4 linked regions of the Caenorhabditis elegans genome follow. The protein of the gene in region 1 interacts with the protein of each later gene in a pairwise test. Each region holds a gene or a part of one and is shown on either strand. Other genes may lie near its edges. The genes, in order: ubc-1, hum-6, mdf-1 and asp-6.

Region 1 (8,379 bases):
GTACTTCAAAAAATTCCAAAAAGTCTATTTTTTTTCAATAAAAACTAAAATTTAAAAAATATTCTACAGATACCGGGAATCGAACCCGCGGCCTTCTGCGTCATAGATAGAATTTCAAATAGTTTTGAAAAACTGAAGGTTTTAAATAATTTTTTTTTGCAATTTTTTCAAAAAAAAAAAAAATTAATTCTCCCTACATTTTGTACTTTAAAATCCAACATTTTGGAGCTTACAAGCTCCCCGCGTGGGATCCGGAGATTAAGAATTCAAAATTCTGCATTTCTACAAAAAATATTTGTTTTTTGATTCTGGATTACGGAAATAAGTCTTGAAACTTCTTTTTTTCCGCCACTCAATCGTCCAGTAGCCCCCATAATCTAGTGGGTACTTCAAAAATGTTGTAAAAATTCAAAAATTGAGTTTTTCTTACCAGAAACTGAACATGAAAAATCTCTGCACCTACCGGGAGTTGAACCCGCGACCTTTTGCGCCATAGATAACCCTGTTACCGATTGCGCCACCGTGTCTCAAATTTTTCAAAAAATGCTTCAATCGACGCAGAATTTTACGGTGAAAATTTTTGCAATTGACAACTTTTTTCTAGCTTTCACCGTTAAATAGTTATAAGGGTTTAAAGTTTGGCTTGAGAGAAGGGAGAGACGCAGACAACGAGACAGTCTGCGTCTCTCTCAGCCTCTATCTCTCTCGTAAGCCCAAGCTTTGAAAGCGTGTAACTCTGCAACTAGGCTTGCTATCAGAAAATTTTTAACTATAGAAATGTGTAGAACGTTTAGCTGAATAATTTTGTAATGAGAAACTTTTTGATAGCTCCGCTGGTTTTGAAGTTATAAGCGGAAAAATTTTACAAAACACTAGAACTAAAACTAAAAACTTCACATAATTAAATTTCCAGCATCTGAAAAAATTTCAGATTACCTCTTAAATACACGACGGTTGTGTTGTTGTCACTCTCCCCCTGGCCGCTCGTTTTATTTTTTGTATTCGACCTCCTGCTCTCGTATACGAGAACAATGTGATTTTCTTAAGATGGAACACGTCGGAAAACAAATGAGCAAATATTTTTCTTGGACTATGAGAATATATCGGAGTAATGAATTCGTACTCGCGCGCGTTTTTGCAGTCGGGGGAAAACATGGGTTTTGGTGGAAAACTCGAAATTCGTTAGAGCTATCAAAAACTTGCTAACTGCAAAGCTGTTCAGCTTAAAATATTAGATACTTTTATAGTTGGGAGTTTTTTGATAGCTAATCTAGTTTCAGAGTTAAGCGCCTTCAAAGTTTGAACCTACGAGAGAGAGAGAGACCCAGACTGTCTCGTTGTCTGCGTCTCCCCCTTTCTCACACTAAACTTTAAACCCTCATAACTATTGAACGGTGAAAGCTTGGAAAAAGTTGTCAACTACAAAAATGATCAGCGTGAAATTCTGCGTCGATTGAACTATTTTGTGGAAAATTTGAGAAACTTTCGAAAAATGAGTGTCGCGGTGGCTCAGTCGGTAAGAGAGTTGGTTGGGGTGCAGAAGGCCGCGGGTTCGATTCCCGCTAGCTGCAGACTATTTTTATTTTAAGTTTTTGGTAAGAAAAACTTGTTGGAAATGTTAAAAACTTACAATTTTCGAGTTTTTGGACCTTTTTTTGAAGTACCCACTAGATTATGGGGACTACTGTCCCATTATGTTGGTGAAAACAGAAATTTACGTCTTATTTCCGTAATCCAAAATCAAAAACCTTTGAATTTTTGAATTTTTAAAGCTCTGGACCCCTGTGTAGGCTTGTAAGCTCCAAATTTCGGATTTTGGAGCACAAAATTTTGTGAGAATTCAAATTTTTTTGGAAAAAATGCAACTTTTCCAAAAAAAAGTTTGCCATCAAAATTTTTTATTCATTTTTACGTCGAAAAATTGACGAATTGGGATGGGACAGACACAGAGACATAGAGACAGAGAGAAAAAAGGTGCCATTTGAAGAAAAAAAAGACAATTATGGTTGGAAATCAATCAATAAAATCCGAAAAAAATCAATTAATAAACGTGGGAAAACGAAAAAAAAAGAGGATTTTTTGCAAATGATGAAAATTGGGGGAAAAAGTGAAAAATTCGAATTTCCAGCCAAAAAAGGAGCAATATTTTGGTGATTTTTGACGAAAAAAAAACATTGAATTTTCAGACAAAAATTTGAAAGTTAGCTGAGTTAGAATTCCAACTTTTATAATTTTTTGGCTAAAATTTTCCGATTTTCACAATTAAATTTCGAGTATAAAAATGGCGATTTTCAGCAAAAAAAAACTTAAAAACTCTGAAAATTTTGTTGGAATATCGAAATTCAAAATTTCAGAATTTTCATACAAAAACATAGTGAAAATTTGACTTAAAAAATGCCAAATGATTTTTTCGAAAATTCACAAATTTTTCAGCTATTTGGTCGAAATTTTCAGATTTTCACAAATTTTGGGTCTAAAAATATCAATTTTTAGCCATTTTTCACTAAAAAAGGCCGAAAATCCGCAAAATTTAGCTGTTTTTCAGTCAAAAATCGTGATTTTTTCTTGAAATTTCACAATTTTTTCAGTTTTTAAGGTCAAAAATTTCCGATTTTCAGCCAATTTTCACCGGGAAAAAATCCTCATCTATGTAAACAACAAAAGACAGAGAGAGAGAGAGAGAGAGAGAGAGAGAGATGACTGGGGTGTATAAATATATACAAAAAAAAACTACCGTATCTTAAAGTGTTCCGGAAAAAATACAAAAAAAATGAATAAACGAGAAGAAAAAATTTTCAAAGGGATCGATTGTGTTGAGAGAAAAATGTGGGGGGAAATTCAAAAATTTCAAAAAAAAAAAATTGATTTTTTTTCGAAATTTCTTTTACGGGGATGATGGGAAAAGCTTTTGATTTCAGATGATTTTTGGGGGTAGAAAAATTTCAGAAAAATTCCTGAAAATTTAAGCATTCGATCCACTGGCTCCTTCATCCATACGGTCATCGTCTGCATCATTTGCTCCTGGAGCAGCAATTTCTTCAATTTCCACGTCATCCTTGAGCACTGCGTCGCCCTCGTTTTCGCCGAAATTGAGCCAGGACTGGAAAAAATTATAGAATTTTTGGAACTTTTTTTGTGTTTTTTCAGCTTCGTCGAAGCCTAGGCTTCTAGGCCTAGCTTAAGTCCAGGCCAATGACTAAGCCCAAGCCTAAGCCTGAACCTAAGCCAAAAATTTCTAATTTTTAATTTTTAGCCTCAAATTTCGGTTCTTTTTTGCAAAATTCAAAAAAAAAAAAATTATTTTTGCTTGAAATGTCAGCCATTTTCAGCCAAAATTCAGCAATTTTTCGCAAAAAAAATCTCAATTTTGGCATAAAAATTCAGATTTTTCATATTTCGCAAAAAATTTCGCCTATTTTCAGCCGAATTTCAGCCAAACGTTTAATTTTTCTCAAAATTTCAGTTTTGGCATAAAAATTCCAAAATTTTTTAATTTTAACTCAATTTTCATCGATTTTCAGCTAAATTTCCACATTTAGGGTAAAATTTTACGATTTTGAACCACAAAAAGCCAAATTTTGCATACATTAGATGAAAATTTAAGAATTTTCGTATTTCAACTTAAATGTTATCGATTTTCAGCCAAATTTCAATTTTTGGGGTGAAATTTCTCGATTTCGGGTCAAAAACTGCCAAATTTTCAATATTTGAGCTCTAATTTCGCCGATTTTCATCCAAAATTCAGGGTTGTGTACCTGCTCAACAATCTGCTGAACACGTTTCTCATATTCCCGTCGATTTTCTTGATAAAGCTGTGCGGCAAGTGAGTTGGCCGGTGAATTTGGATTGGGCTCGTCGAGCAACGACTGAATCGATGTCAGAATTGCGGCAACATCATACGTCGGAGACCATCGATTCTGTAGAATATCCAGACAAATTGATCCGTCCGCATACACATTTGGATGGAACATTTTGGAAATAAATTTGACGGTTGGCGGTTTATTTGGATATTCTTCAGTAAATTCCAGTGATAATTTGAATGTTCCATCTTCAAACGGGGTTTCTTGTGGTCCAAAAATTATTGCTTCCCATGTGAGAATATTATCTTCTGTTGGTGCACCTGATACTCCTGCTGGTGGATCTTCCTGAAAGATTTGGTCGTTTTTTTGGGGATTTAGAGCGATTTTTTTTGGAAATTAAAAGAAACCTTTCTTTTGGAAAATTTTCAGTTTTTTAGGAATTTTGAGCGATTTTTTTTGGAAATTTTGAGCAATCTTTTAATGATTTTGAGCCGTTTTTTGGTAATTTTAAGTGATTTTTTTTTTGGTAATTTCGACGATTTTTTGGTAATTTTCGACGATTTTTCGGAAATTTTGGGCAATTTTTTTGTGTTTTTCGGCCGTTTTTTGGAAACTTTCGATGATTTTTTGGTAATTTTGAGCGATATTTTTGAAATTTTAGGCGATTTTTCGGAGAATTTCGACGAATTTTTGGAAAATTCGGCAATTTTTTTGGAGGCGATTTTTTGATAATTTTGGCGATTTTTTGGGAACTTTCGATGATTTTTTGGAAATTTTGAGCGATTTTTCAGTAATTTCGACGATTTTTTTTGGTAATTTTTTTTTTTTTTTTGGTAATTTTGAGCAATCTTTTGGATATTTTCGACGATTTTTCGGAAATTTTGGGCATTTTTTTTGTGCTTTTCGACCGTTTTTTGGAAACTTTCGATGATTTTTTGGTAATTTTAAGCGATATTTTTGAAATTTTAGGCGATTTTTCGGAGAATTTCGACGAATTTTTGGAAAATTCGGCAATTTTTTTGGAAAATTCTCGGCGATTTTTTTTTGGAAATTTTCGGCGATTTTTTGGACATTTTCGGCCGTTTTTATGGATATTTTCGGCGATTTTTTGGCAATTTTAATTTTAAAAATTTCACGAGAAATTTATCAAAAATCCCAAAAATATCTAATTTTTTCTGGAAAAAACCAATTTTTGTTGCAAATGTTCTCTAATGTTCAAAGAAAGCCAAATTTTCGGGCCAAAAATTTCAAAACTCACCTGAAGTTTCTTAAAATCTCTCATCAAACGTCTACGGCTGGGCGTCGTCATATTGATAACCTAACTCCTGCAAAAAATGTGAAAATTAGGTTAAAAATTCGAAAAAATGCAGAAAAATGCTAGAACAAGTATGAAAAAAGGTACGGCAACCTTTAAAAAATCAAAAAATTAAAGAAAATATTTTTTAACATTTATTGACAATAATGCAAAAGTTGAGCAATTTGTGTGAGTTGTTGAACTTCTGCCGACGATTCCAGCCAAGCTTCCTGCAAAAATCGAAAAATTAGGTAGAAAATTGGAATTTCCCAAAAAAATTCGTATTTTAGTGCAAATTTGGAATATAATTTCCGTAAAAATTGGAAACTTTCGAAAATGTTTCGTAAAAAATTCAGTTTATGTTAAATGAAAATGCTGGAAAATTGCCAAAAATGTCAAATTTTTCTTTGAAAATTTGAATTTTTTGGAATTTTTCATTGAAATTCGATTTTCTAACTGAAAATTAGAAAATTTTGGTTCAAATCGAACTTTTTTAGTGAAAAAAAAAATTTTAATGAATTTTTAATGAAATTTGATTTTTTTAGTGGAAATTTCTAAATTTTAATTTAAAAATTTCTAAAAAAAAATCAATTTTCCAAAAATTTAAAATTTTACAAAAAAACGTGAAATTCTCAGTAAAATTCAAATTTTCGGTGAATTTTTGATTTTTATCTTTTTTTTTTTTTTGGAATTTCAATTTTCTCACTGAAAATGTCAATTTTTTGGTAAATTTGAAAAATTTGAAGTTTTCGGTGAAAATTTTGAGTTTAAACTGGAATTTTAGGTTTTCCGGAAAATTCGAAATGATTAACTGAAAACTTTCAAAAAATCAAAATTTTGAGTAAAAAAGTCCAATTTTTCTGGAAAAATGCAAATTTTATAATATTTTTCAGAAAAATTCAAATTTAAAGCCGAAATTTTCCAATTTTTCAGTACAAAATATTCAACTTAGGCTCAATTTTTTTCACGATTTTAAGGTAAAAATTCTGATTTACTTAATTATCAGCTATAAAAAAATCAATTTCGACTAAAAAAATCCGTACTTTTTTACAAATTTGATCAATTCGATGTATTCTTTGTAGTAATTCCATTAATCTTTCCGAATTAATTTTCTTTTTTCTTTCCATATTTTCAACCATTTCTCGCATTTCTGGACTAATATCATCGTCGAACATCACATCTCCGGAAACTCTGAAAAATTTTGAAATTGATAGATTTCTTAGAGAGAAGTTTTTGGGAATTTTTATGGATTTTATAGAAAATTTGAGATTTTTGAAAAATCCCTAAAAATTAATTTAAATATTTCAGAAAAAAAAACTATTTTCTTAATTTTTTGGAAAACTCATTACTTCTTAAATAATTTACAGATTTTGTTTTAATTTTTGATATTTTTCTGAAACTTTTTGGCATTAAAAATTTCTTTAAAGTGATTTTTTTTTCAGATTTTTGTGTAAATTCATTTTTCAAAAATTTTAGACATTTTTTCCGGATTTTTTTCTTTTTAATTAATTTTTCTGAACTTTTCCGAAGTTTTTTTTTCGGAATTTTAATTTTCAGAATTTTAACCTCAAAAAATCCACATTTTTCCTGAAAATTCAAATTTTCAAAAAAAAAAAAAAACTAACAATTCAACTTCTTCACCAACACGTTGACCATCTGGAAGCTTCTGCCTATCCGGTTGCTCAATCTGCAAATTTTTACAGTTTTTTGATGGAAAAGCTTCGAAAATTGGCTTTTCTGAGCAGAATTTGGATAATTTTTTCGATTTTTGATGTAAAATTGAAATTTCGCGGTTTTTTTTATGGAAAAACACAAATTTTCTCAATTTGAAGACATTTTTTCATGGAAAATCTTGAAAATTGCAGAATTTGGGTCAATTTTTCAGTGTTTTTTCTACTTATCCTTCGAAATTTCGCAAATTTTCCAGATTTCCTCCACTCACAAACGTCGGATGCGGAGCATTTCTGTAGGAATACGATATTACTGCCAAATCTCGATTATGAAGTTGCTCAGCGACTTCTGGCGGGCATAGTGGCAAAATTTTGAGCAAATAAATTTTCCGCACAAATCCAAACGACTGGCTGTACTTTTGGCCATTGTAACGGCGGCAGATTATCTGGAAAATATTGATTTTTGGAATTTTCAGTTGAAAATTCGGATTCAGTATAGTTTAAATAGTTTACGAGTTAATTTTCAGCTCAAAATCTCGAATATTCGTGAAATTTGGTGTGTGGTCTGCAATCACTCGGTGTTTGCGTACTCTTGGAGCTACAGTAACCCGAGAAATTTGAAAATCAAGCTAGCGACTTCTAGTTTCCGTCAAAAACTTCGAAATTGAAGGGAAAATCTGAATTTGCAGTCGAAAATTCGAAAATGCTGATTTGAAGTTAACTTGTCAGAGATTTTTCGGCGGAAAAGCTGTGAAATCACATTTTTCCAAATTTTCAGTTGAAAATTCAGATTCAGTATAGTTTAAATAGTTTACGAGTTAATTTTCAGCTCAAAATCTCGAATATTCGTGAAATTTGGTGTGTGGTCTGCAACTACACGGTGTTTGCGTACTCTTGGAGCTACAGTAACCTGAATAATCTCAAAATTGAGCTAGGAGCCTCTAGTTTTTAAAATCCAATTTTTAGCAATACTATGGCTAAAAATTAAGGAAAATGCTCCCAATACAATTTTCCGATAATTTTTGTCACGGAATTCGGGTTCAGCACTGTTTGATTAGACATAGGGCTAATTTTCAGCTCAAAATCTCGAATTTTCGTGAATTTGGTGTTTTTCCCACAACCACTCGATGTTTGCGTACTCTTGGAGCTACAGTAACCGGAAATTTTTCGAAAATGAAGCTAGCAACTTCTAGTTTCCGTTAAATTGCCAAAATCGAACAGAGATTCCAATTTTGAGTTGAAAATTCGATTTTCTAGGAAAAAAGTTGGGAAAAAAGGCAGAAAAATAGATTTTAAAGAGAGAGAAAACTCGTTATTTTCTTCCATTTTTTTCCCAAAATATTTTTCAGGTCAAAAACAAAAAACACCATGACTTGTTCACGTGATACACAAAACAGCAACTGGCAGCGGTGAGAGATGATTCGGAAGGAAGAAAAAAGTGTAAAGTTCTGAAGATGAAGCAGCAGCAGATGTTATTGTTTTTATTGAAAAATCGGTAAATATTAAAAGAAAAATTGGAAAAAAAATAAGGTGAGGAATGCGGAACACGTCAAAAACTATATTAAAATAGATTTTAAGTTGAAAATTTCAAATTTTCGACCTAAAAATCGAAATT
Region 2 (7,983 bases), on another chromosome or scaffold:
AGGTCGCAAGGTCGCAGGTCGCAAAGCGACCTAGGTCGCTAGGTCGCAGGTCGCGATGCGACCTAACCCTCTAGGTCGCAGGTCGACATAGGTCGACCTATAGCCACCCCTAGGTACAGGCGTACGAGAGTAGCGCCCTCGTGGAAGGCTTAGAGTAGGTATTGTGGGTATTTTGCTTAATTATACTGAAACTTTCTTAAAGCGACCAAACTTCGTGATGGGACTTCTCAAAACATTTCGAAAAATGTTTTATGGTGGGTCAAAATTTCCAAAAAAAAAAGAGCTGAATTTTCCTAATGAAACTGGGATTTTGAACTAGTTTTAGTATATTACGGGACCATGAGGTCATGAGAATGCCTCTTTACTGGCGCGAAAATATTTGCAGGCCGCGGCAGCAAGATAACATGTGGCGAAGAGAGACGCAGGTCCCTTCGCTACGTGATATTTGCCGCCAGAAAAGTAGACATTCTCATGATATCGTGGTTCCATAAAATTCATACAATGTACCCACAATCTATACTCCTCACATAAATTGCCTAAACTCACTAATTCCTCATGTGAATCCGAAATAACTGAAGCAGTGGATGAAACTTCTGTGAGTGGTGCTTTCTCGCCTCGTTTTCGCTTTTCTCCAACCTGACGACGTACTAGAGACCCGCGGCATACAGCCTAAAATTGACAATAGTGTAAGTTCCTATGATTATTATCTAACTTGAAATTGGATGATTGTCTTTCGTAGAGTTTGATAATGTGACACCAATTGTCTCGAACGCAAAACAGCCTGAAGGCGTGAGAAACCGGAAATAATCTGACGATATCTTTTCCTTTGGTCAAAACCTCTCCATGCAGTTTGAATGGTGACAGCAGCTTGTCTTTGCTTCTCAAAGTCTTTTCTCACTAACCATCTCCTGACATTTTTCTGAATAACAATTGCCTTATCCTTCAATATGCGGTAGTACTCTTGCTCCAGAACCAAGTCGTGTTTATCTTTCAGAAAGACTTTAGTTTTTCCAAGTTGATAGTCAGCATTTGTTCCAAGAATCATGTGGCAAATTTTTTTGGCTGCATCGTGCAAATCGATCCTGTTCACTGGTCCCTGGATGGAAGAAACTAAGACACGATAACGGAAGACAAATGGATAGTAGTCATGACGAATCGGATAACCACTCCTTCTGATTTTGATAGTCTCCATCATTCCGGAATAGCGAAGCTGTCTTAATACAAGATCTCTATCCATCACAAGTGCTCTCTTCATCTCATTCGGCTTGATGCATCTGATGAAAAATGGATGTGTTTGAGTCAACTGGGACATAAGTTGCTCCAACGATCTTCGGAATTGATTTCCGACGGTCACCTTCTTTCTGGAGCTTGTGTCGTATTCTATGTCGTCGAATAATCGAGCAAGGAATGGCATTTTTGATGAGGAAATGAGCACGGACAAGTCGGCTGAAAAGGAATCTCGATTCTTTTCGAGGAAACCTCGTGTGTTGTAAAACACATTTCCAGCAAAATGAGTGACTCCAAATGCTCTCTGAAGCTCAGATTTTGGCTGCAAATAGAGCTCGTTTCTGCCATGTGTTGAATGAAGTTTGAGCAGCATTGTCTTATCAGTTCCTTTTGGGAAAATACTTTCCTCATCAATAAGAGACAAAATATTCAACGGTCTCTGAGCAATCAAATCGACTGTAGCCTGATTATCGACAAATTTTATGTGACGCCAGTTAATGTGCTCCTGCAATGTTGAATAAATTTTATTTTTCAGATTGAAATATGAAAACTACCTCATCATACTCCTTCTGCTCCATCTTAAACACATGGTGAACAAAGAATTGTTGTAATGTCTCATTTGCAAAGTTAATGCAAAGTTGCTCAAAACTATTACTTTCAAAATTTTCAAACCCAAAGATATCAAGAATTCCGATAGATGTTCTTCTTGACTGCGACGGTCTTAAAAATAAATTTCAAAATATTTTTTAAACTAACCTAACTCACTTGTAAATTGCATCGTTCACTCTTCTAACGATATGAATGAATAATTTTCCATAAATTGCCTTCGCAAGGGCATCTCTTGCATCGACGGCTTGTTGACCATTCAATCTAGAGATCACTCGTTCTTCGCGCGTTACTAAGCTTTTAGTAGTAATTGCGTCAAGAAGATTTTGCTCGTGGAGTTGCAAAAGTTTTGCAATTCTGACAAGAGTTGATGGATCGGCTACATCAACTGATTCCATGTTGTCATTCGTATTCTGTCGGAATCTGATGTTTCCAATATGAAGAAGAGATGCCAAAAGTTTGAAGATACTTCCAATTTCTTGCTCGTTGATCATGAGAACTCGCATTGCGGATCGGATTTCAGCCAAATCGGCAGCATCATCACGGCCTTCTGCTGTCAGTGTTTTTCCCTAAAGTTCAATTGATGTCGACGAGTCAACCTTTATAAAGCTTACTTGAATCAAATAATAATAATCAGCAGCTGTTCCTAATTCTAGCTCCGACTTTTCTTCTCTGGACAGTCCTGCCAACAAACAATAAAATATATGGTAATTTCTCTCATTCTCTGATTGAGTAACAATTCTCGATTTCTCCAACAAATATTGTTCAATTTTCGCTCCTAAAACAATACATCTCAATATGTTCCCACTTGTCAATCAAACCTTCAATAGATCCACTCTCGTTAAAATGTACATCAATGTATTTTCCAAATCGAGACGAGTTATCATTGCGGATGGTCTTCGCATTACCAAATGCTTCGAGAACCGGATTTGCTTCTAGGACTTGCTGTTCGATCCAGCTGTGTTGTCCACTGATTGTTGCCAAAAACTGGAGGACCAGTTTTGTGGATTCAGTTTTTCCTGCACCAGATTCGCCACTGAAAAAGAAAATTGCTCAAAATTTTCGTTTTTTTATTTACTATGTAGTCTGGAACTCCAAAAAAAAATTTGTTGTTGTAGTTTAGTTTAAAGATGAGAGTGTTTGCTTTAAAAAGTAAAAAAAAACAATGTTTTCAAATTTTGAGCGCTTTTAGATGGTAAAAGTGTGATTTTGGCGTGAAAAGTAACTGAAAATTGCAGAAAATTCAGAATTTTCAAGATAAAAATTGGCTGAGAGTTTTCGGAGTTTTCAAGTGGAAATACTTCAGGTTTTAAGTTCTAAAGTTTATGGAAAATATTTTTTGGGTGGAAATTGTTGGAAAATGGCTGAAAAAATTAGAATTTTATTGGTTAAACTTGAAAATTTTAAAGTAAAACTTGGGACTTTTAATAAGAAAACTTGACAATTTTTCAGAAAATTTAGATTTTAGTTACGAAGTAAAAATTCTAATTGTTATGCTACTGGAGAGGCTTTTTCTGTTTTTTTTTTAAATAATTTTTGTGAAAAAATGCTCCTTGTCTAAAAAACGAACCTGATAATGACAGATTGATTTTTCTTTTCCCTCCTCATATTTGTATACGCATTATCAGCAATTGCAAAAATGTGGGGTGGAAGCTCTCCGATTCGTTTCCTTTTGTACATCCGAATCTCATCAGCTGTATAGATAGCAATGTCCATATATGGATTTACTGCTATCAAAATTGAACCAGTATAGGCCTAAAATTGTCTAACTAACTTTTTGCGATATTTCTTTAATTGCTTACATAAATAAGTTTTTCTCTGTATCTGATAAATAAATTTCTCAAAATCGCACTCTCATGAAAATCGCCCAGCTGACACATGTCTTCCACACCCTGAACTGATGTCGGATGCATCAGCCTGACCCGTCGATCCGCCGATAGCCATTGTTCCTGAATTGTACTTTTACATTCTCTCCCTCAACAAAAATTGCAACACGACCACCGCGCAACTTATCAAATGCGTGATAAAATGTTAATGTTAAAGAGATGCCCGCAGTGATGCGAAAGTAGGAAACGGATTGAGGTCAATGTTGCGGTATCAGTGAAAAATGTTCAAAACAGTGGTGTCAAAACGTACATTTCCAAGATCGTCAATCACTTTCAAACGTCCATGGTCTTGGTCGATGACGCGTGCTCCAATTGGAATCGATCCCTCTGTTTTTCCGGGCTCAATCCAGATGAAGTCACCCTGAGAAAATATACTACGTAATACAAGCGGCTGAGCAAATAATATTGGATGGTTACCTTGCTTACTAATACCATTGTTGTTGATTTACAAAGTCATTGGAGCACAGATTATCTGAAAAAACTGATTTTCGTTAAGGAATATCTTTTATAAAATTCAAAACGATTCAAGTTTCAAAGATTCAAAGAAAAATTAACCAATAAAAACGTGTGCTTTCAAATACTTGAAGGCGGAGTACCGAAATCTGAGACTTTGCCTTTTTAGACCCAAAATGACCCAACAATTTTTTTTTGATTTTATCTGAAAATGAGCTTTTTTTGCAGAACTTTGAACAGCCGTAATTTTTTTTTGAGAAATTTTCAAAACGTCTCATTACGAAACTCGGTTGTTTTGGGTCGTTTTAGGTTTAAAAAAACAAAGTCTCAGATTTCGGCACTCCACTTTTAAAATGGTTCGAAGTCAAGAAAACATCATAATTTTAGCTAAAATCTCAAAATTGTGCAAATTTACCGTGTCAATTTCCGGCTGCTGAGAAGCAAAAATGCTGGGGAAACTGGAGATTTTAGATGCATTTAAGTGAATATTTTTGAAGTATTGAACCGCCATAAAATTATTAAAAACATTTATTGGAAAGTTTTGTTATGAAAGTCTGTTTTTGAGCCATTTTGAATCTAACAAAGCAAAAAAAACTAAAAAATTCAGACAAATTATAATCATGCTCTAAAAGTTTTCTTCTACTTATACTAGTATGATATTAAATTCACAAAAAAAGTCAAGAATTACCTATGTATATAGAAGTAATAAAAACGGCAGGCAAATGAAATTTGAAATTTAAATCAAAACCTTGAACAAGATAGAAAGAAAGATAAGAAACGCTTCAAATGAGTACAGCGCTACAAAAAGAACATATGGTATTCAGTAAAAGTTGGGAGCTACATAGCTGAGCAAATGTACTCAAAACAGTCATGAACACGAGTTTATACACAAAATATGCATAGGTTCAATAAGCCGAAAGTACACAGAAACCCGCAGGTTTTCCGAATAAAGACGTTCGCCGTCTGTGTTCGGATTTTCTTTCTCTTTTACACATTCTTATTTGTTGACAAATGTATTGGCTGGGGAGAGAGAGGGGGCCCGGGGTCTGCAAGTGATGAGTCCGAGCGACTTTTGGGGGGGGGGGGGGGGGGGGGGGGTTTGAGAGAGAAACACTGTGATATTTGACCACGGTTAATCCGAAATGCGCGGACTATCTCTCCGTCATCTTCCGCACTGTTTCTAACAGCCGCTCCTCCGGCCGCAATTGTCTTCGGTCAAATTAGCTAGCCAATACTATTTTCTCATTTTCTTTCTCTCTTTATCGCCTTCCAAATAAATGAGGTCATCTTTAGAGAGGATTACATAAAATTCTAATTACTCAGATTTTTAAGATTTTCAAAAGTTCATTACAATAAGGGATATCACATTCACATTGCAATATGTCAAATTAAAAAAAAAACTGAAGTGCTGAAATTTTATCAGCCCCATTGCTTCAGTTAATTGTACTAAAAAAACCCGATGAATTGACAAAAAAAAATACACGACAGCAAGCCCAGCTGGAACGGGGAACAAAAGCACAGAGAGAGAGCTTTTTGAAATAAACAACAAATATTTGCATTTCTTATGTATAGATGGACAGTCAAAATTGAGGTCACTCAAAGAAATGAGATAAGCTTGGGCAACAGCGGCCTAACAACTAGTATCCCTATATGAGACCGGGAAATGTATGACTACACCAACTACTTGTTTCGATGCAAATTGCATTCTTCTTGTAATGTTTCTCATTCTTAGCAGATATCAGGAAAGGAATGAGGATGATAATGGAATTAGTTTTTGATGGGGGGAGATGTGATCGAATGAAAGTGATAGTTAGAAAAGAGTGAATGAGGGAAAATCACTGGATGAATGCAATTGAATAGGGAAGATACTCTCACGGCACTTCATAAATCAGCTTGAAGCATCATTTGCCCAACTATAGAATATTCATCTTTATTATTAGCAACATATAATTAAGACACATTTTTTGGCAAACGTACTCATATGAAATGTCACAGTAGATGCTCCAAATTGGAAATTAGAACGTGATTTTTTTTAGACAAGTACAACTTATGGGGATAATATAAATTAATGTTTTATTGATATGAAATGAAAAATAGCTGCGGTGTTGAGTTTGTAAAAATTTTAATCCAAAATTTTTTAAAGATCCTATTTTTTCCCTTTAGGAGTTCGTTATGGTTTTTGTTCAAAAATTTGTTCTGAGATCATTTGATTCGCAAAGAAGCTTTAATTAGACTTCAAGAATGTTTTTGCTAAAAGCTATGCCACAAGGTGAGGTTAGTTTTTGCCACTTTTTTGGAAGTCGTCGATCATAGAAAAGTATTCCGTTGAGTTTTGGGGTCTACATACGTTTCGAATATTAATATACAAAACTTTAATTTTAAATATTGTAGGCATTGAAACATGTTACAGTGCTGTAGTTTTTTTCCCAAAAATTGACAAAAACTCTGTAATTGCCACTGTCAATAAAAGTTTTTCAAACGTTTTTTTTGAAAAGTTTTACTATGACTTTGGCCATTTTGGCACCGCTACTACACCTATAAATACCGTTTTTTCTGTTGGAAATATAGCTGCAATACTAATTTTCAGATCATTTTTTTGAGCTGGGGCTTACTAGTTTGTACTTGAAAGATTTCCAGTTTTATTTGGAAATTTAGAAAATTTACTTATAGCTGCAACAAAAATGTTCATGAATAACTTCAGTTTCATAGAAATTTTGTGAAAAATTGTTGCAAAACTGGCAAAAAAATGTTGTCAAAATCTTAAAATTAGTGAGGCTGGTTTGCACCAAAAAAATAGACGCAGGACTGTTAGGGAGTGCAATACTAATAGGAAGTGCAAATCTAATAGGGAGACCATACTGATAGAAGAAATACGGTATATCAAAAACTTTGCGTGCAATATCATTGAATACAGCATGCAACATTTCAGCAAAAACTTTTTGACTAAATTATGGTTTTGAAAAAAAATTAATTCAAAAAACGTTTTTCCGCATTCCATGTCGAGACGGCTAGGGGGTATGACATAACGATACTCCAAAAAACGTGTTATCTCCACTTGAGTTTTTAGGAGTGAAAATAAGAAAAACATTGATGAAGCGGAGAAGGTGGGAGGAAGCAAATATTGTTCAGCAAAAAAGAGGAGATGCAGAATAAGCGAAACAGTTGTTTAACGCCATAAGTGGACACTACGGAGGCCAAAAGACACAACGACTGTGGAAGAGCCTAGCCGATCCATTGTTTCGCCACCGGTGCGCGGCTTTGTGCACTTGGCCCTGGCGCTGGATTTTGACAAAAAGCAACAAGATGATCGATCATGAAGTGGAATTGTGGTGGGGGTGGTCGTTTGGCGAGTATAGTTGAAGCTTTCGTAGTCGGAAGAGTAATTGGATAGGTAATCGGATATGGTCCTTATTATATATGTTTGCCAGATTAAGAAGTCTCGAGACTAAGTGAAATTTTCTGGAAGAATGGAGAAAGGGAAGCAGTGATCAGCTGCTAAAATGGAGCAAAGCTGATAATATGGAAATTTAAAAAAAAAACACCTAAAATAATCTTTACAAAGTTGTAAGTTCCAAACAAAAAAATTGCACAATGTCTTGAAAACTCTATCCGCCAGATAGAACACTTCGAAATGGGAACGGAAGCTGGTCAATGTAATGCAGTCATCATGCGCACGGTCTGCGTGTCCGCGCGTTTTCGGCTCACTCACGGCTTTCCGGACAGCTCGCGCGAAACCGCGCACAGAGCGAAAACCCAAGACGACGGCAAGCCGGGGAAAACGACAAAAATAGCTCTCATATGGATGACGGTG
Region 3 (7,787 bases), on another chromosome or scaffold:
AAAGCGTCACAGAAACGAAAAATACGTCAAAAACTTGGTGGCGTGTTTGCGGATTCGATGACGCGGGAAAGGTTGTGCAGCAGAAATAACAGTCCTCCAAGGGTTTTCCTTGAAATTCGTAGTGTTCGGAAAGACGGTGAAGAATAAATATCATATTTTTGAGCAAAATGGTTTTATTGATGTAAAAATAAGAGATCTTGAAAATAAGAATCGGTTTGAGAATTTAGAAATTTTCGAAAACGAAGAACACAACTAAGTACTCTTCGAACTGGATGACTGCTGCTGCTCCTTATTCTGCTCCGAAGTTTGCTGCTCTTCGTCATCATCTGAACCTTCTGGAACATCTCCATACTTCTCCTTGGCCACCTTGTTGAACTCGGCATTTGTTGCTTGACGAAGAACTGCGAGAAGCTCTGGATCGAGATTCATTCCCTCTGGGAGACCTCCCATCTGAAAAGATATTTTGTTTAGGCTATTCTAAGTAAAATAAAATAGGTCTTACCTCCTTCAGCAAATCATCGAATTGCTTATTGGTCATCTCCAATTTCTTGTTTCCTTGGCTCTTCTTGGTGTTCTTTGGCATTTTTGCGCGTCGATTTGGTGTTGTGCAGACTGGTTGACTAATGAATGCCAACGTAGTGTATATTATATACCCATATGCGGTGGAGGGGCGGAGCGACAGATGTCTGAGGTCACTAACGCTCGCACATGTTTCCCAAAATCGAGTTTACTTTACCAATACCAATTTATTAGGTTTTTAGTATAAAACAGGAACATATGAATAAATACATTGGGGAATAGGAGTGTTAATGGGAGATCGTAATCATTAATAAATTATTTACTGGAAGTGTACTTGGTGACAGCCTTGGTTCCTTCTGAAACAGCATGCTTTGCAAGTTCTCCAGGAAGAATGAGACGGACAGCGGTTTGGATTTCGCGAGAAGAGATGGTGGATCTCTTGTTGTAGTGGGCCAGACGAGATGCTTCCGAAGCAATTCTCTCGAAGACATCGTTGACAAACGAATTCATGATCGACATAGCCTTGGATGACACACCGGTGTCTGGGTGAACCTGCAAATTATTTAATAATATTTTTGATTTGACAGAATAACTACTTAATATTATTTTGATTTCTATGATCCCCCAAGACTAATTTAAATGATTTTTAAATACCGGTATTATATCGTTGCAGTTCGTACTAAGTGGTACGTAGTTTTAACATACAACATGCTAATGGCTAAAACATTTTTTTATCATAACTTATTCGATTTGAATATATTCTCACCTGCTTTAAAACACGGTAGATGTAGACCGAGTAGGATTCCTTACGAGCATGCTTTCTTTTCTTTCCGTCTTTTGGCTTGCTGACGGTCTTAGCAGCCTTTTTGGCTCCTTTAGCTGATGGTTTTGGTGGGGCCATGATCGAATGAGACACGAAACGAAAATGCGAAACGAATCGATGTGTTTGGCGAGTGTTGTCTATGAGCGCTGCGAAGCGCTTTTATACTCGCCAGCGGTGGCCCCACCTCTCGCTGCCGCGGAACTAGACTCCGCCCACACCGAGAGAAATAGTTAAATAGAGAGGCGGGCGCGTGTGCGCATGCGTATTTTGCATCGATTTTCGTCGGCTTAGACCACTTTTCTGTTTCTCTTTCACCTCCAATTTGCTCATCTAGACTTCTAGTTCATTGTTATTCAACCTAATTTCAGCAAAGATGTCCGGACGTGGAAAGGGAGGAAAAGCTAAGACCGGTGGAAAGGCCAAGTCCCGTTCGTCGAGAGCTGGACTTCAATTCCCAGTTGGTCGTCTTCATCGTATTCTCCGTAAAGGAAACTACGCACAACGTGTTGGAGCAGGAGCACCGGTATGTAGAATTTTAGAGCTGCTGTGTTTTGTGCATTTCCTAGATTAAAAAATCGTTCAAACCTGAACTTGCTAGCATTTTCCAAATTATATCACTTTTGCTCTTGTACTTTTTAAAAACATAATGTTCCAGGTGTACCTCGCAGCAGTTCTGGAGTACCTCGCCGCCGAAGTTCTCGAGTTGGCTGGAAACGCTGCCCGTGACAACAAGAAAACCCGTATTGCACCAAGACATCTCCAACTCGCTGTCCGTAATGACGAGGAATTGAACAAACTGTTGGCTGGAGTCACCATCGCCCAAGGAGGAGTTCTTCCAAACATCCAAGCCGTGCTTCTCCCAAAGAAGACTGCAGGAGACAAAGAATAAGCAGTGTCACAGATGAATATTGCAACTAAAGATACTCCGCCCCGTTAATTTATATGTCATCTGAATGTATTGTTTACTCGGCTGAATTGTAAATGAAATAAATTCATATACTTTGCAGTTATCAGTAAATTATTTTTTAAAATGAAAATAAGAATTTGTTTTAAATACAATTTTTCCAGGTAAGAAACTTCCCAAAATTCGGATTTTTGAAAAAAAAACTATTCGCAAGATCATATTTTCCTATTTTTGCATGTTCTTGTGTCCGAACATGTTTCCGAATGACCAAATAATAATAAAAAATGAGGCTGAAGAATTGCTGGGAAAAGTGTGCGGCAGCATTGCATAATGCCGCGCCCTTGCAAGTGGGCGGGAAGACGTTATTTTTAAGATTTCTTCGCAGTTTGTTTGGTGACATTCGATAAACTGTTTTTGTGCGAATGGATTTGTTTGACTTCCCTTGATTGCATTAAACATATTATTAATCTCTATCTCAAAATTCGAATCGCTCACTGTAATACATTATGTAACTGATTTTTTTCAGACATGAATTACGATGAAGACATTGTCGATGAAGACGAATATGAAGAGTCGGAAGCTACAATGTTGTTCGCTGAAGAAATCAAAAAACAGTTCAAAAGAGAGTTTCCGTTGAAAGCAGAGACAGAAAAAAAGCTGAAGCAGGCAACATTTCGTCGACATGCGCCGGTGGAGGCCAGAAAAATCAATTTCGATATGACACTCTCACCTGGTAAATTAACTTAATCCATTTATTAAAAATGTTTAAAATATTTTATTTAGTGGCTCCAATCGAATTGGCAAGTGCAAAAAAAGAAAAAGAGTCGGCACAGCGTCAATTGGTAACACTCCGTGAAGATCACGAACGTATGAAACAAATGATGCAAACGAATCAAGCGAAGTTGGCTGAAAAAACCATTGATCTGGAGACGAATCGTGAGAAAATGTTGGAGCTGCAAGAGCAAGTCGAACTTCTGAAGCAAGAACGAGATGACACCATCGCAGAGTGTAATCGAAACGTTGATATTTGGACAGCATTCGGCAAAAAATACTACACTTGGTACTCAATGGCGAATACTCAGCTGGAATCTGTGAAATTGTACATAGACAACGACGGAAAGTTTGAAAACGACGAAGAAGTTACACGATTGAATGCAGTTCCAAGACAGATGTACAGGGCTCTTGAACAATTCGATTATGATGATGAAACAGTAGAAGAACTTGGTTCAGGAAGTCTGCTAGAATATGAAGGTGTTTCATTTGCTACCCGTAGACCACCATCTCCTGAAACGGAAAGAGAAATCGCTCGTGCTGATCAATCGGCTGCTAACTTTACTCTACCTCGTAAGTCCGGAATTTTCAAACTTTTGTTTGCAGGCAAATATATTCGTATTTTCAGAATCCAATTTCACACTTCTCGAGGATTCAAATAACACCATAATGCCAGAAGATCAAACAATGATGACTGATGGCTGCATTGCCAATCGATCACTTATTGATTACGAGAAAGATGAGAAAATTCAGCGATTACTACTGGAAAACAGTGTTCTCAAAGATCGTTTGAATGTCTCGAGTGGGCGTGCTGAAAGGTCGATGATTTTCGAAGAACGTAATCGTACTTTAGAGTTTGAGAAGAAAGCTCTCCATAAGCAGTTGGACAGCACATTTGTGAGTGAATAATTATTGTTAAACTAATTTCACGTTTAATTTATTTTAGAGTGAGATTGAAGCTATTCGGATTGGCCAAGCAGGGAACTTGTTCAATATAGACGAGAAAATTCCTTCGAGTTCAGACAATTCCGCTAAGCAACTGCAGCTCATTGACAGAATCACTCAGCTCATTACGAAGAACAATCAGCTCGAAAAAGATTTTGAAGCAGCTACTTCCAGAATGACGAAAGTTATGCGAGAAAGCACAGACTGTGCTCGTCGCAACGAACGACTTGAGGATGCTTTTTCGAGCGAGAGAGTCAGAAGCCAAGACCTTGAAAATGAGAAAAGCCGGCTCTCTGAACAGTTAGAGTTGAGCAACAATGAATTGGAGAAGGTCAAGAAACAGTTGGAAGAATCTCAATCTCAGCTCGATGAAGTTCTCAGCATGACTTTAACTGTCCCAGCTTCAGAACCGGCATCTTTACCTGCTCCAACCGATGCCGGAAATAGTACACAGATTTTCCATATGGCTTCTAATCCACTCCAAGATGCTCACAATGAATTCCAAGCGTCTGAAAGTAGGAAAAGAAAGTTGACAGATGCTCCAGCTGGTGATCAATGGAGAGAGCAAGAGTTTGCTGAATTGGAGAAGCGTCTTTACGACTGCGAAAGTGAGAAAAAAGTACTCGAAAGTAGTTACAATCTTCATAAGGAACTCTCGTCGAAGTTCCGGCAAGTTTGTATTGCTCTGACCGGTCTCCAAATCAAACTGAAAGATGCAGACGAAGGAATATGCACTGTACAAAGCGAATATGAAGGTGGTTCCGCTCAGCAGTTCGTGTTTAAGTATTTCTATGGAACTCCTCGCATCGATATGCTTGATGTCAGCTGTGAATCAACTACTGAAATGCTTCGAAAGTGGGAGCCACTTATGAAAAAGTTTGTTAATTTTCTGGTTACTTACTATTAGAAGTATAAATACTCCCCGTTGTTGTGAGGCATCTTCTTAAAATATGTTTTTTCAGGTACATTGGCGACCGAAATTCGATTCCGGCTTTCTTAGCAGCAATGACTCTTCAGCTGGAACAGGATCGAGATTTTGACGAGACGATGCATGAGAGAACACATACATTCAGTGTCTTACACGAGGACTAAATCATTGAGCTATCTAGATCTCAATTATTTTTCTTCAAAGGAGAAGCTGTTAAATACACTGTTACCTGAATATTTGATGTTTCATTCCATTTTATTTATTTATTTTTTAATCTAAAACGTGTAGTGATCAAAATTAATCACACAATGAACGTTATATTTTCTTTCCAATTCAATGTTTACTATGGTATATTGTTTCGTACAATCTAAAGTTTATCTGCTCGTATATAGGAGAAATACCATTATGAAAATAGGAAAATTGGTTTTTGAACATCCTGTATTTTTCTAAAACGAGTTTGAATGATACCGCAATTAAATGATATAAGAAAATATATTTTCAGATGACAGCGTCAAAAATTAGTGATGTCTCTTTTGTGACTGATTTTGTATCAAAATATCAGAAAGGAATGGAGATGTCTTACACATTGGATGGAAATTCACGTGTTAGTGAATTCAATCAAAAAATGAGCAGTGTATCCATTCTTCTATTTCATAGAGATTTAGAGCAATTTCTTCTAGTTCGTCAATTTCGACCAGGTTTCCAATTTTATTCTATTGAAATGTGAGCGTTAAGTTGTTTTTTAGCAATCTTCACCGCATCAATTTCAAATTCGCCGGAGAATCACGGTAAAGAATTTGATAAAATTGACTGGAGCAGCTATGATTCTGAAACTGGCTACACCATTGAACTTTGTGCTGGACTAATTGACAAGGAAGGATTATCTCCTAGAGAAATTGCATCAGAAGAAGTTGCTGAAGAATGTGGATATCGTGTGGATCCTGATGATCTAATTCATGTAATAACATTTGTTGTGGGTGCTCATCAATCTGGAAGTGCTCAACATTTATATTACGCGGAAATCGACGAATCCATGAAAATCAGCGAAGGAGGTGGAAATGTTCATGAGGGAGAAGTAATTACTAAAGTTTATTACCCTGTCAACGTTGCACGTGAAATTGCACGCCCTGCTATTGGAACACATGCAGAAGTGAAAGGACCTCCAGGCGTTCTTTTTGCTTTTCAATGGTGGTTTTTGGTTTTGGATCCAAAAAAGGTGAATAAAAGCATATTTTTATTTAACTTTTGAAGACTGGAAAAACCCTTCTTAAAAAACGTGTGTTTACGACAATCATTTAAAATTTTTACAGAAAGGGCTCATCGCAACTCCACCAACTGGATATCAATGGCAGCCGCACAATGTAAAAACCATTTCGAACGTAAAATTCAACACTGATTTTGACAAAAAGAAGTATGGTTATAATCCAAAGAGAATGATTTTCACAATTGTGAGTTGAAGTAAAGTTCTTAAATTATATGTATAAATGAGAATCTCTTGTAGAATGGAATAACCCGCAACTGGGATTTAGCCTTATGTCCAAACACAGCTACATGTATTCTTGTAGATATGGTGAAGAAAGAATTGATTTTCTTGCAGAAACTCCGTGCACGTAAGTAATTTTTAAATCGAACTTTAATGAAATGTAAGTTTACAGCGGTGTTTGTTGGAAAAAATCGTTTTTTGAAAGAAAACATTGGAAAGCCTCTGGATGAGATTGATTTCTCGAATTCCGATCCTAAAATTGCATACACTGTAAGTCTAGAATGCTGTATTTCCCACAATATTATATGTAATTTTCCAGCTTGAACTCGTTGTTAACCGTGTTCCGGATTTCGACGATCCTCGAAAATTCGCTCGAATCTCAGTGAAGCAACTTGGCTACGATCTTCCAGAAGATTCGTTTAAACTCCAAGCAAAGTGTATTCCGGGAATCGGTCAATCTGGAGACACCCAATCTATTTTTGCCGTGGATGTTAGTAAAGCACGACTTTGTGAGAAGGAAGAAGATGAAGACATTGAAGAACTTCGTGTTTCTTTTGCGGATTTGCCGTCTCTGTACCGACAACACAATATAGGACCACCAACTACTTACTATGCCATTGGATTTGCTCTTGATCAGCTTCTCGAGAGAGACACGCTGTAAATCGAATACATTCCTGCTTTTCTATATTTAAAAACATTTCCCATCGAATTGTACATAGACCTATCTAGACCGGTGTCTTATACGCATCCTGTTTAATGAATAATAAATTATTTTATCATGCAGAATGTGAGATTTCTAGAGACTTCGTGTGTAGAAACCACTATCTACCTTTTTTGAGTGTCAGAGATATCCTTGGACAGGACATTTTAAACATTTTTAAATGCAGACAATGACAGTACCAGCATCGATTGTTCGTTTTATGGGTACTACAGCAATTATTGGATTTCGGCAACAAACGAGAGGCATGACTATGGTAATATCTAATGTAACGTATTTTTATTCTAATTTCTAATTTAAGATTACACCAAAGAAGCCTCCAGATCTTTCCTTCAAACCTGCAACGCAAGTAAAAACTGTTTCGGAGAAGAGTCTTCAAAGTTCTCTCACTGATGAAGAAAGTCAAACTAATTTAGAGATAATTCAAAATTTTGATGACAAATGTCAAATTGAGAACACACGAGAAGTAGCAACAATTTCATCGGCTATTATTGCAGAGGCGCGAAGATTAAAATCTGAAACTGGTAGGGTTTCATAATTTTGATTATATTTCCAGATACTCTGAAAAATTCGTTCAAAAAATGCCGAAACACCATTATTAGTTGAATTATTTTATTTTATCGGAGCACCAGTTGGTCTAAAAGATTTGAAAATTTAACTATATAAAAAAATTTCAGGAAAAGCAACATACCGGAA
Region 4 (6,543 bases), on another chromosome or scaffold:
CCTGGCGGCTCTTGTGCTTCGAATGATTCAAGTAGAACGAAAAATGCAAGTGGCAAAAATACAAATGTATTCATTTTAGAAATTGAAATGAATTTTTTCAACTTAAAAAAATTTTTTACATTTTTTTTAAACTTTAAAACTCTTCAACACACGTATTTTTATTTAAAAAAAATCACAATCATTTTGGAGCAGGTTGCAAAGATGGAGCAAATCCCATTCGGAAGTTTCCAATATCATAAATGTTACAATATTGCCTGATAAACGGGTCTCCAAGAATCCAGGAAGGTCCAAAACCTCCAAAATCCATTGGGAAGAGAGCCATCACACACGTTCCATCGCCAACATCCGCAATATAATTGTAGTGTTCGATTTGATAATCATGGCCACCAATTGTAACTTCAAGTGGTCCAGGAGTAGCATCACAATCGATTACGTACGCTTCTCCAAGGATATAGTACTGTAACATTTTAGAGTGGAAATTAATTTTACATGTTTATTTGGTTTTTGAATGGGAAGAGTTAGTTTTACAACCGGCTTCAAAAAAGTTGAAGTTATAACGAGCGACTCCATTACTGTTAATATGAAATAAAATTTCAGTCGAAACAAAAAATATTCATAGTTATAAATTAAGGTGAAGATAAGATGAGATCTTATCAGGTTTTTATCTGATAAAAACTTACGGTAGCGCCAGCCTGCTTTGCAATTTCATTAATAACTACACTGGGACCACCCAAGAAAGAAGTTCCAGTATCCGAAATCACGTCAACAACTTTTGCATTCAAATATTTTCCCAGTCGGAATCGATTTGCCTTGAACTGAAAATAAGTGGCAGATGACAATGGCTGATATCCAATCACTGGTTCACAATTAGTAGTGTCTACTGCTCCATATGTGAACACTCCTCCTCCAACATTTGTCAATGTTCCTCTATGTTCCAAGAATACACTGAACAATGGTTGATCAAGAATTCCTTGTTTAATAGCATTGATAAGTGGTGGAACTACGCCATCAACAGCCAATGTAGTGAATGCAAGACCGAATATTCCATCGGTGGCGTCGTTTTTTAAATCTGCTGAAACTTGGTTTGCAATTCCGAATGTCGTTTTTGGGATTGCTAACTGATTTTCTCCGGTCGCTCCAATCTACAAAATTTTAATTGAAAGTAAGAATAATTGTTTAAAAATTATACCTTCACAATATCTTGTCAAATTTGTGTTTCGACTCACAATTTGCTCTAAAAGTTAAGTGTAAAAGTTCACTTTTAAATTTCATTCTTACTTGCATGATGTCCCTGGAATCCAAAGATTCGCGGAACCTGTGTCAAGGACAACAATAAAGCTCTGATCAGGAGTTCCAATAGTGATGTTTCCAAGATATTCAAAATCGGCAAAGTCATTGACCTAAATTAGTGTATGTGTTTATGAGAAAAATATCAAATAAAAGTTATTTTTGAAAGTTGGCTAGTTTCTATTTAAAAATTGTGAAACTTGCATAGAACAGGTTATCAGTACAAGTTTTAGATTATTTTAAAATTTGGATACGTTAAAAAAAACTTACATTCTGTGGCAAACTCTGTAGCTGCCAAGGATTACGGTTTCTTTGTCTCTCGAGATGTTTCTTATATGTTGCCCATTCTCCACTTCTCAGCATCTCGATCCTTTTTGATGGTTTCCATAATATTTTACTTTGATGTACTAATCCAGAAACAAAAACAAATAAACTTATAATTAAAATTATTGATCGCATTTTTCAAAAAGTGATCAATTTCCCCCTTTTCAATTCTGGTTTTAAGCTTTTTTTCATTTTCTTGCATCATCAAACGGCGGACTCGTTAATTTCGCTGATAACACAAGTAAACTGATAAGAGGAATGAAACATCGTGATTAAAATTCAATGCAATTCATTTCTGCAGAAAAATTGTTTAAATATTAGTTGTTTCAATTGTTTTATTATTGAAAAAGTATAAGTACATAAATAGTAATATATATTTACTTTTGGAGAGATGGAGCGAATCCCATTCTCTTGTTTCCAATATCGTAAATGTTGCAGTATTGACGAATGAATGGATCTCCAAGAATCCATGATGGTCCGAATCCTCCGAAATCGAATGGGAAGGCAGCGAAAAGGCATTGACCGTTTCCGGCATCAACGATGTAGTTGACTGGCTGGATGGAATAAGTGTTGGTTCCAATGGTAATATCAAGAGTTCCTGGCTGGGCAGCGCAGTCGATGAAGTAGACCTCGTTAAAGTCATCATAAGTGGCTCCAGCGGCCTTGGCGAGTCCGTCAACAACAGATTGTGGTCCTCCGAGGAAGGAAGTTCCGGTGTCAGAGATAACATCAACGGTCTTGGTGTTTGAGTATGATCCGAGTTTGAATCCGGCAGCCTTGAATTGATAGTAGGTGGCAGAGGAAAGTGGTTGGTAGGCAACAAGGGCTCCGCAGTTGGTGGTGTCAATGGCTCCGTAGGTGAAGACTCCTCCTCCAACATTGTTGGCGGCTCCTCTGTGCTCAAGCCAGACTGAGAAGAGTGGCTGGTCAAGGATTCCTTGGTTGATGGCGTTGATGAGTGGTGGGACAACTCCGTCGACGGCAAGGGAGGTGAAAGCAAGTCCGAGAATTCCGTCGGTGGCGTCATTCTTGAAGTCAGCGGAAATCTTGCTGGCAATTCCGAAGGTGGTGGTTGGAACAGACAATTGGGAGTCTCCCTTAGCTCCGAACTGAAAATCAATTTGATAAGGACTGATTTTTTGTAAAATTCACTTTGCCAGCTAATTTATATCAAGATTACACAACGCACACATTAATGCATTGAAGATAAACTTACTCTAACGGTATCTTGTCCGAGGATTCCGGCGGCATCTCCTGATCCGTATTGGATGGTCCAGGACTTTCCGTTCTTAACGAAGGTGCTGGAGGCAGTGGAATCGAACTTGCTCTTGGTCTTGCAGTTGGTCCTTCAAATAATCTTTTTAAATATTTCAGAACTGAAATCTACTCACTTGCAGGTTGGTCCTGGAATCCAGAGGTTAGAGGATCCGGTATCCAAAACAACGATGAATCCTTGATCTGGGGTTCCGATGGTGATGTTTCCGAGGTACTCGAAATCTCCAAAGTCATTGACATTTTGTGGGAGATTAGCAAGAACATTTGGGGACACAGCTCTGAGATTTCTCTGGTATTCAAGGTAAGCTGGATATTGTCCAGTACGGATCATTCCCATCTTCTTGGATTCCCTCCATACGATCTTGTGTTGATGGACTGAAGCCGATGCAAGGCCAAGAACGGCCAGAAGGATGAAGGTCTTCATACCTGAAAATAAATATTTCAGAAAAATATTCTAAATGGAAATGAAATTGAAAGTGTAGATAAACGAGTGAAATAATTTTCAATTTCAAGAGCAAAAATTGAAGTAGAAAATGTCAGATAGTGCTATGTTTTATACTTGTTGAGAAAACTCATGGGCGCACTGACGTAAGTTTAATTGGTTGATAAGAACCGCCTTCTTATTTGGTTTGTACCCGATCGGTGCGATTCTTATCACTAAAAAATGAAGTTTAGTGAAGAGAGTAGTGCCGATGATTCCGGCTTCTGGAAGTAACGACTGAAAACTGACGAAACAGCTTTTATGAGCTAATAAAACTCGAGTATTAACTGAATCAAAAGTGCGTAAAGTTCCGTGAACGGTACCCGGAGATGGATGACATTTGAGTCAAGTGCTGATAGGTCAATACCAGGTACACACGTAGGTTTACTGGCTAAATCCGGAGTAATACGTGATGAATTACGTAAGCGATAGGAAAGTATACAGTTTGAGCATGGCTAAAACTTGAACAGACAGAGTCCAAAGGATGATATAATGAATGACGAGAGCCTTATTTAAGGCATCACTGTAAGATTTTCCAACAATTCAATTTGCTCTGTATTATAGTTTTCAACATTATACAGTTTTTGAATTGAATAAACTTTTTGAGTTGGAAGGTTCTTAACGGCACTTTCTATCTCATCTTACTTCACAGTTAGTAAAATAGTTACAATAGTGCCCATTATTTGAATTTTATTTGAAAATTATGTCCATTTCCAATTGTTCCACAGCATTTTTTTTTGCAAAACTCCATATTTATATGTAGATAAACTTTTTGCCAGAAAACTTGCCAGGGAATAGTTAAGGATGAATTTTCAGCCTATCTTCCTAAAGACCCCAAATATAAAATTTTTGGTGGATTGCAGAGAAAGCTAGGCATGGTTTCAAGTTTTACAGTTCACCCTTTTGAATTGGAAATCCAATTAATACTGTACGCTTGTTTTGCAAGTGTACCCAAATGACATCACTATTTTCTGCAGTTTTTTTTCCGGCTCTGTATTATTTTGGCAGTCAACATGATAGCTTTATTGACATTTCTTTAAATCAAACGTTTTCCTCAATCATTTCCGCTGTTTTACTTCTCAACCTGTGACAGTACAAACATCTTGATCATCACGTGCCCAATAGCCAGGCATGTTGACTATGAGCCGGAACTTTTCTAGATAAGCTTCTTACGAATCTAGATACGTATTCTGATTTATTATCAATAATTTATCGCATCAGATCAAGAAAGTGAGAGTTCTTGCGTCAGATTGAAAGAATAATGGCCAAAGTTTCCAAACTTTGCACGGACATTCTAGTTTGCAAAGTTATGAGCTGAAGAACGAAAAATATTAGGTTTCTATGGTATTTAATCTTAAACGCATAAATTTTAGGAAGAAAGAACCATTTTAGTTCTTGAATACTTGTATTACACTTTCAAATACCCATATTTCAAGCATAATAGGACTACTGAACTTTTTATCGTACCGGGCATTCACACAGTCTCGCACAAAAGTCAACCTAAATGATATTGTATTTCAAACAGTTGTTCGTTGAAAAACTAGTAGAATCAAGAAACAAACATGATTTCAACCAAAATTAATGAAACCTCTTTTATTTCAAAACACAACACGCACTGAAAACATCGAAATATTCAATAAATCTTTTCAGAAATGAAGACAACTCTTCTCGCTTTTGTAGCCATTCTTGGCATGTGCTCGGCAACTGTGGTTCAGCATAAATTGATCTATCGGGAATCGCCAAAGATGCAAATGATGAGGCGAGGAGAATGGGGAGCATACGTTCAACACAAGGCTGCCCTACGTGACGCCAATCCAGCTGTGTTCGCCAGTGCTCCACAAAATGTCAATGATTTTGGAGATGTTGAATACCTAGGAAATATCACGATTGGAACTCCTCCACAACAGTTTATTGTCGTCTTGGATACTGGTTCTGCGAATCTCTGGGTTCCAGGAAGTAACTGCGAGTCAGTAGCCACCTTACACAATGGTTTTTAAATTTTTATCATTTTCAGTGGAACATGCAAAGGAAAGAGCGAGTTTGACTCATCTAAATCTACAACATTCAAGAAAAACGGACAATCATGGCAAATTCAATACGAATCTGGAAGCGCTAAGGGAATCATGGGAGTAGATACTGTTGCTTTTGGTGGTGCTTCAGAACAACAACTTCTTGTCCCATCTACCACTTTCGGTATTGCCTCTCACATTTCGTCTAACTTTAAGAATGTAAGATCTATTTCCCAGATTATTTGATTCTTCATCGGAACGAAACTTTCAGGACGCTGCTGAAGGAATTCTCGGGCTTGCCTTCACATCTCTTGCAGTCGACGGAGTTACCCCACCACTGATCAACGCCATCAACAAGAAAATTCTCGATCAACCTCTGTTCACAGTCTTTTTAGAACATAAGGGAACGGCAAAGAATGTTGGAGGAGGTGTCTTCACCTACGGAGCCGTTGACACTACCAACTGCGGACCAGTGATTGCCTATCAACCACTTTCATCTGCCACGTATTATCAGTTTGTTGCTGATGGATTTAAGCTCGGATCATACTCAAACAATAAGAAATCTCAAGTGATTTCCGACACTGGAAGTTCGCTCATCGGAGGACCAAGTGCTGTGATAAATGGCTTCGCTCAAGCTTTGGGAGCAAAAGTGAGTATCAGTTTAATTTTGACTCGTTGTGAGGGACAAACAGTTTTTTTAATCTTTATATCTAAACCTTTTCCAGTACCACAGCGATGATGATGCTTACTACCTCCCATGCTCAACATCTAAGGGAACTTTGGACATTACTATCGGAGGAAATGTGTATTCTATTGAACCTGTCAACTATATCCTTGATGTTGGAATGGGTGACACTTGTGTCTTTGCTGCTTTCTCATTCGATTTCGGAGGATTCGGACCATCATGGATTTTCGGAGATCCTTTCATCCGTCAATACTGCAACATCTATGACATCGGACAACAGCGCATTGGTTTTGCCAAGTCTCTCCAGCCTTCTTCAAAATAAACTCTATGCAATGCGATTGTGAGAAATGAAAATGAATACTTCAATTTACTTTTCTTCAGTGTGTGATCTACGTGATTATGGTCAAAAGTCCAACTTATACATATCGTCATGTACACCTTATTTCTTTTTTCATTTTCTGGACAATTTTGTGAAGTGAAAA

Evidence for each region.
Region 2: the proteins of ubc-1 (region 1) and hum-6 interact in a two-hybrid assay, tested with the Caenorhabditis elegans proteins (2 studies listed by BioGRID).
Region 3: the proteins of ubc-1 (region 1) and mdf-1 interact in a two-hybrid assay, tested with the Caenorhabditis elegans proteins (2 studies listed by BioGRID).
Region 4: the proteins of ubc-1 (region 1) and asp-6 interact in a two-hybrid assay, tested with the Caenorhabditis elegans proteins (2 studies listed by BioGRID).

Annotation. Positions count from the first base shown.
Region 1 is NC_003282.8:4,099,766-4,108,144, reverse strand, and holds ubc-1 (Ubiquitin-conjugating enzyme E2 1), read right to left. Parts: upstream 5,126-8,379; 5' UTR 5,110-5,125; coding exon 5,059-5,109; intron 4,146-5,058; coding exon 3,756-4,145; intron 3,101-3,755; coding exon 2,963-3,100; 3' UTR 1,882-2,962; downstream 1-1,881. Other genes in the region: C35B1.2 (SWIM-type domain-containing protein), read right to left, coding at 5,250-5,324, 6,138-6,285, 6,720-6,781, 7,037-7,210. UniProt on the Caenorhabditis elegans protein: Catalyzes the covalent attachment of ubiquitin to other proteins.
Region 2 is NC_003284.9:2,299,292-2,307,274, reverse strand, and holds the start of hum-6 (Unconventional myosin heavy chain 6), read right to left. Parts: upstream 4,194-7,983; 5' UTR 4,155-4,193; coding exon 4,137-4,154; intron 4,081-4,136; coding exon 3,970-4,080; intron 3,783-3,969; coding exon 3,636-3,782; intron 3,589-3,635; coding exon 3,404-3,588; intron 2,870-3,403; coding exon 2,655-2,869; intron 2,612-2,654; coding exon 2,448-2,611; intron 2,403-2,447; coding exon 1,993-2,402; intron 1,948-1,992; coding exon 1,782-1,947; intron 1,733-1,781; coding exon 713-1,732; intron 670-712; coding exon 547-669; intron 1-546. UniProt on the Caenorhabditis elegans protein: Myosins are actin-based motor molecules with ATPase activity. Unconventional myosins serve in intracellular movements. Their highly divergent tails are presumed to bind to membranous compartments, which would be moved relative to actin filaments.
Region 3 is NC_003283.11:9,539,212-9,546,998, reverse strand, and holds mdf-1 (uncharacterized protein), read left to right. Parts: upstream 1-2,772; 5' UTR 2,773-2,774; coding exon 2,775-2,979; intron 2,980-3,029; coding exon 3,030-3,590; intron 3,591-3,645; coding exon 3,646-3,914; intron 3,915-3,963; coding exon 3,964-4,838; intron 4,839-4,924; coding exon 4,925-5,054; 3' UTR 5,055-5,217; downstream 5,218-7,787. Other genes in the region: C50F4.6 (Cold-shock protein), read right to left, coding at 253-450, 503-583; his-41 (putative histone H2B 3), read right to left, coding at 835-1,071, 1,286-1,420; his-35 (Histone H2A), read left to right, coding at 1,716-1,865, 1,998-2,231; C50F4.16 (Uridine diphosphate glucose pyrophosphatase NUDT14), read left to right, coding at 5,393-5,588, 5,637-6,106, 6,201-6,338, 6,392-6,500, 6,546-6,643, 6,693-7,034; C50F4.12 (Transcription termination factor 3, mitochondrial), read left to right, coding at 7,264-7,347, 7,393-7,615, 7,769-7,787.
Region 4 is NC_003283.11:8,265,626-8,272,168, forward strand, and holds asp-6 (Aspartic protease 6), read right to left. Parts: upstream 3,313-6,543; 5' UTR 3,311-3,312; coding exon 3,003-3,310; intron 2,958-3,002; coding exon 2,828-2,957; intron 2,721-2,827; coding exon 1,989-2,720; 3' UTR 1,886-1,988; downstream 1-1,885. Other genes in the region: F21F8.5 (uncharacterized protein), read right to left, coding at 1-74; asp-12 (Peptidase A1 domain-containing protein), read left to right, coding at 5,020-5,333, 5,382-5,595, 5,648-6,025, 6,102-6,383. UniProt on the Caenorhabditis elegans protein: Aspartic protease.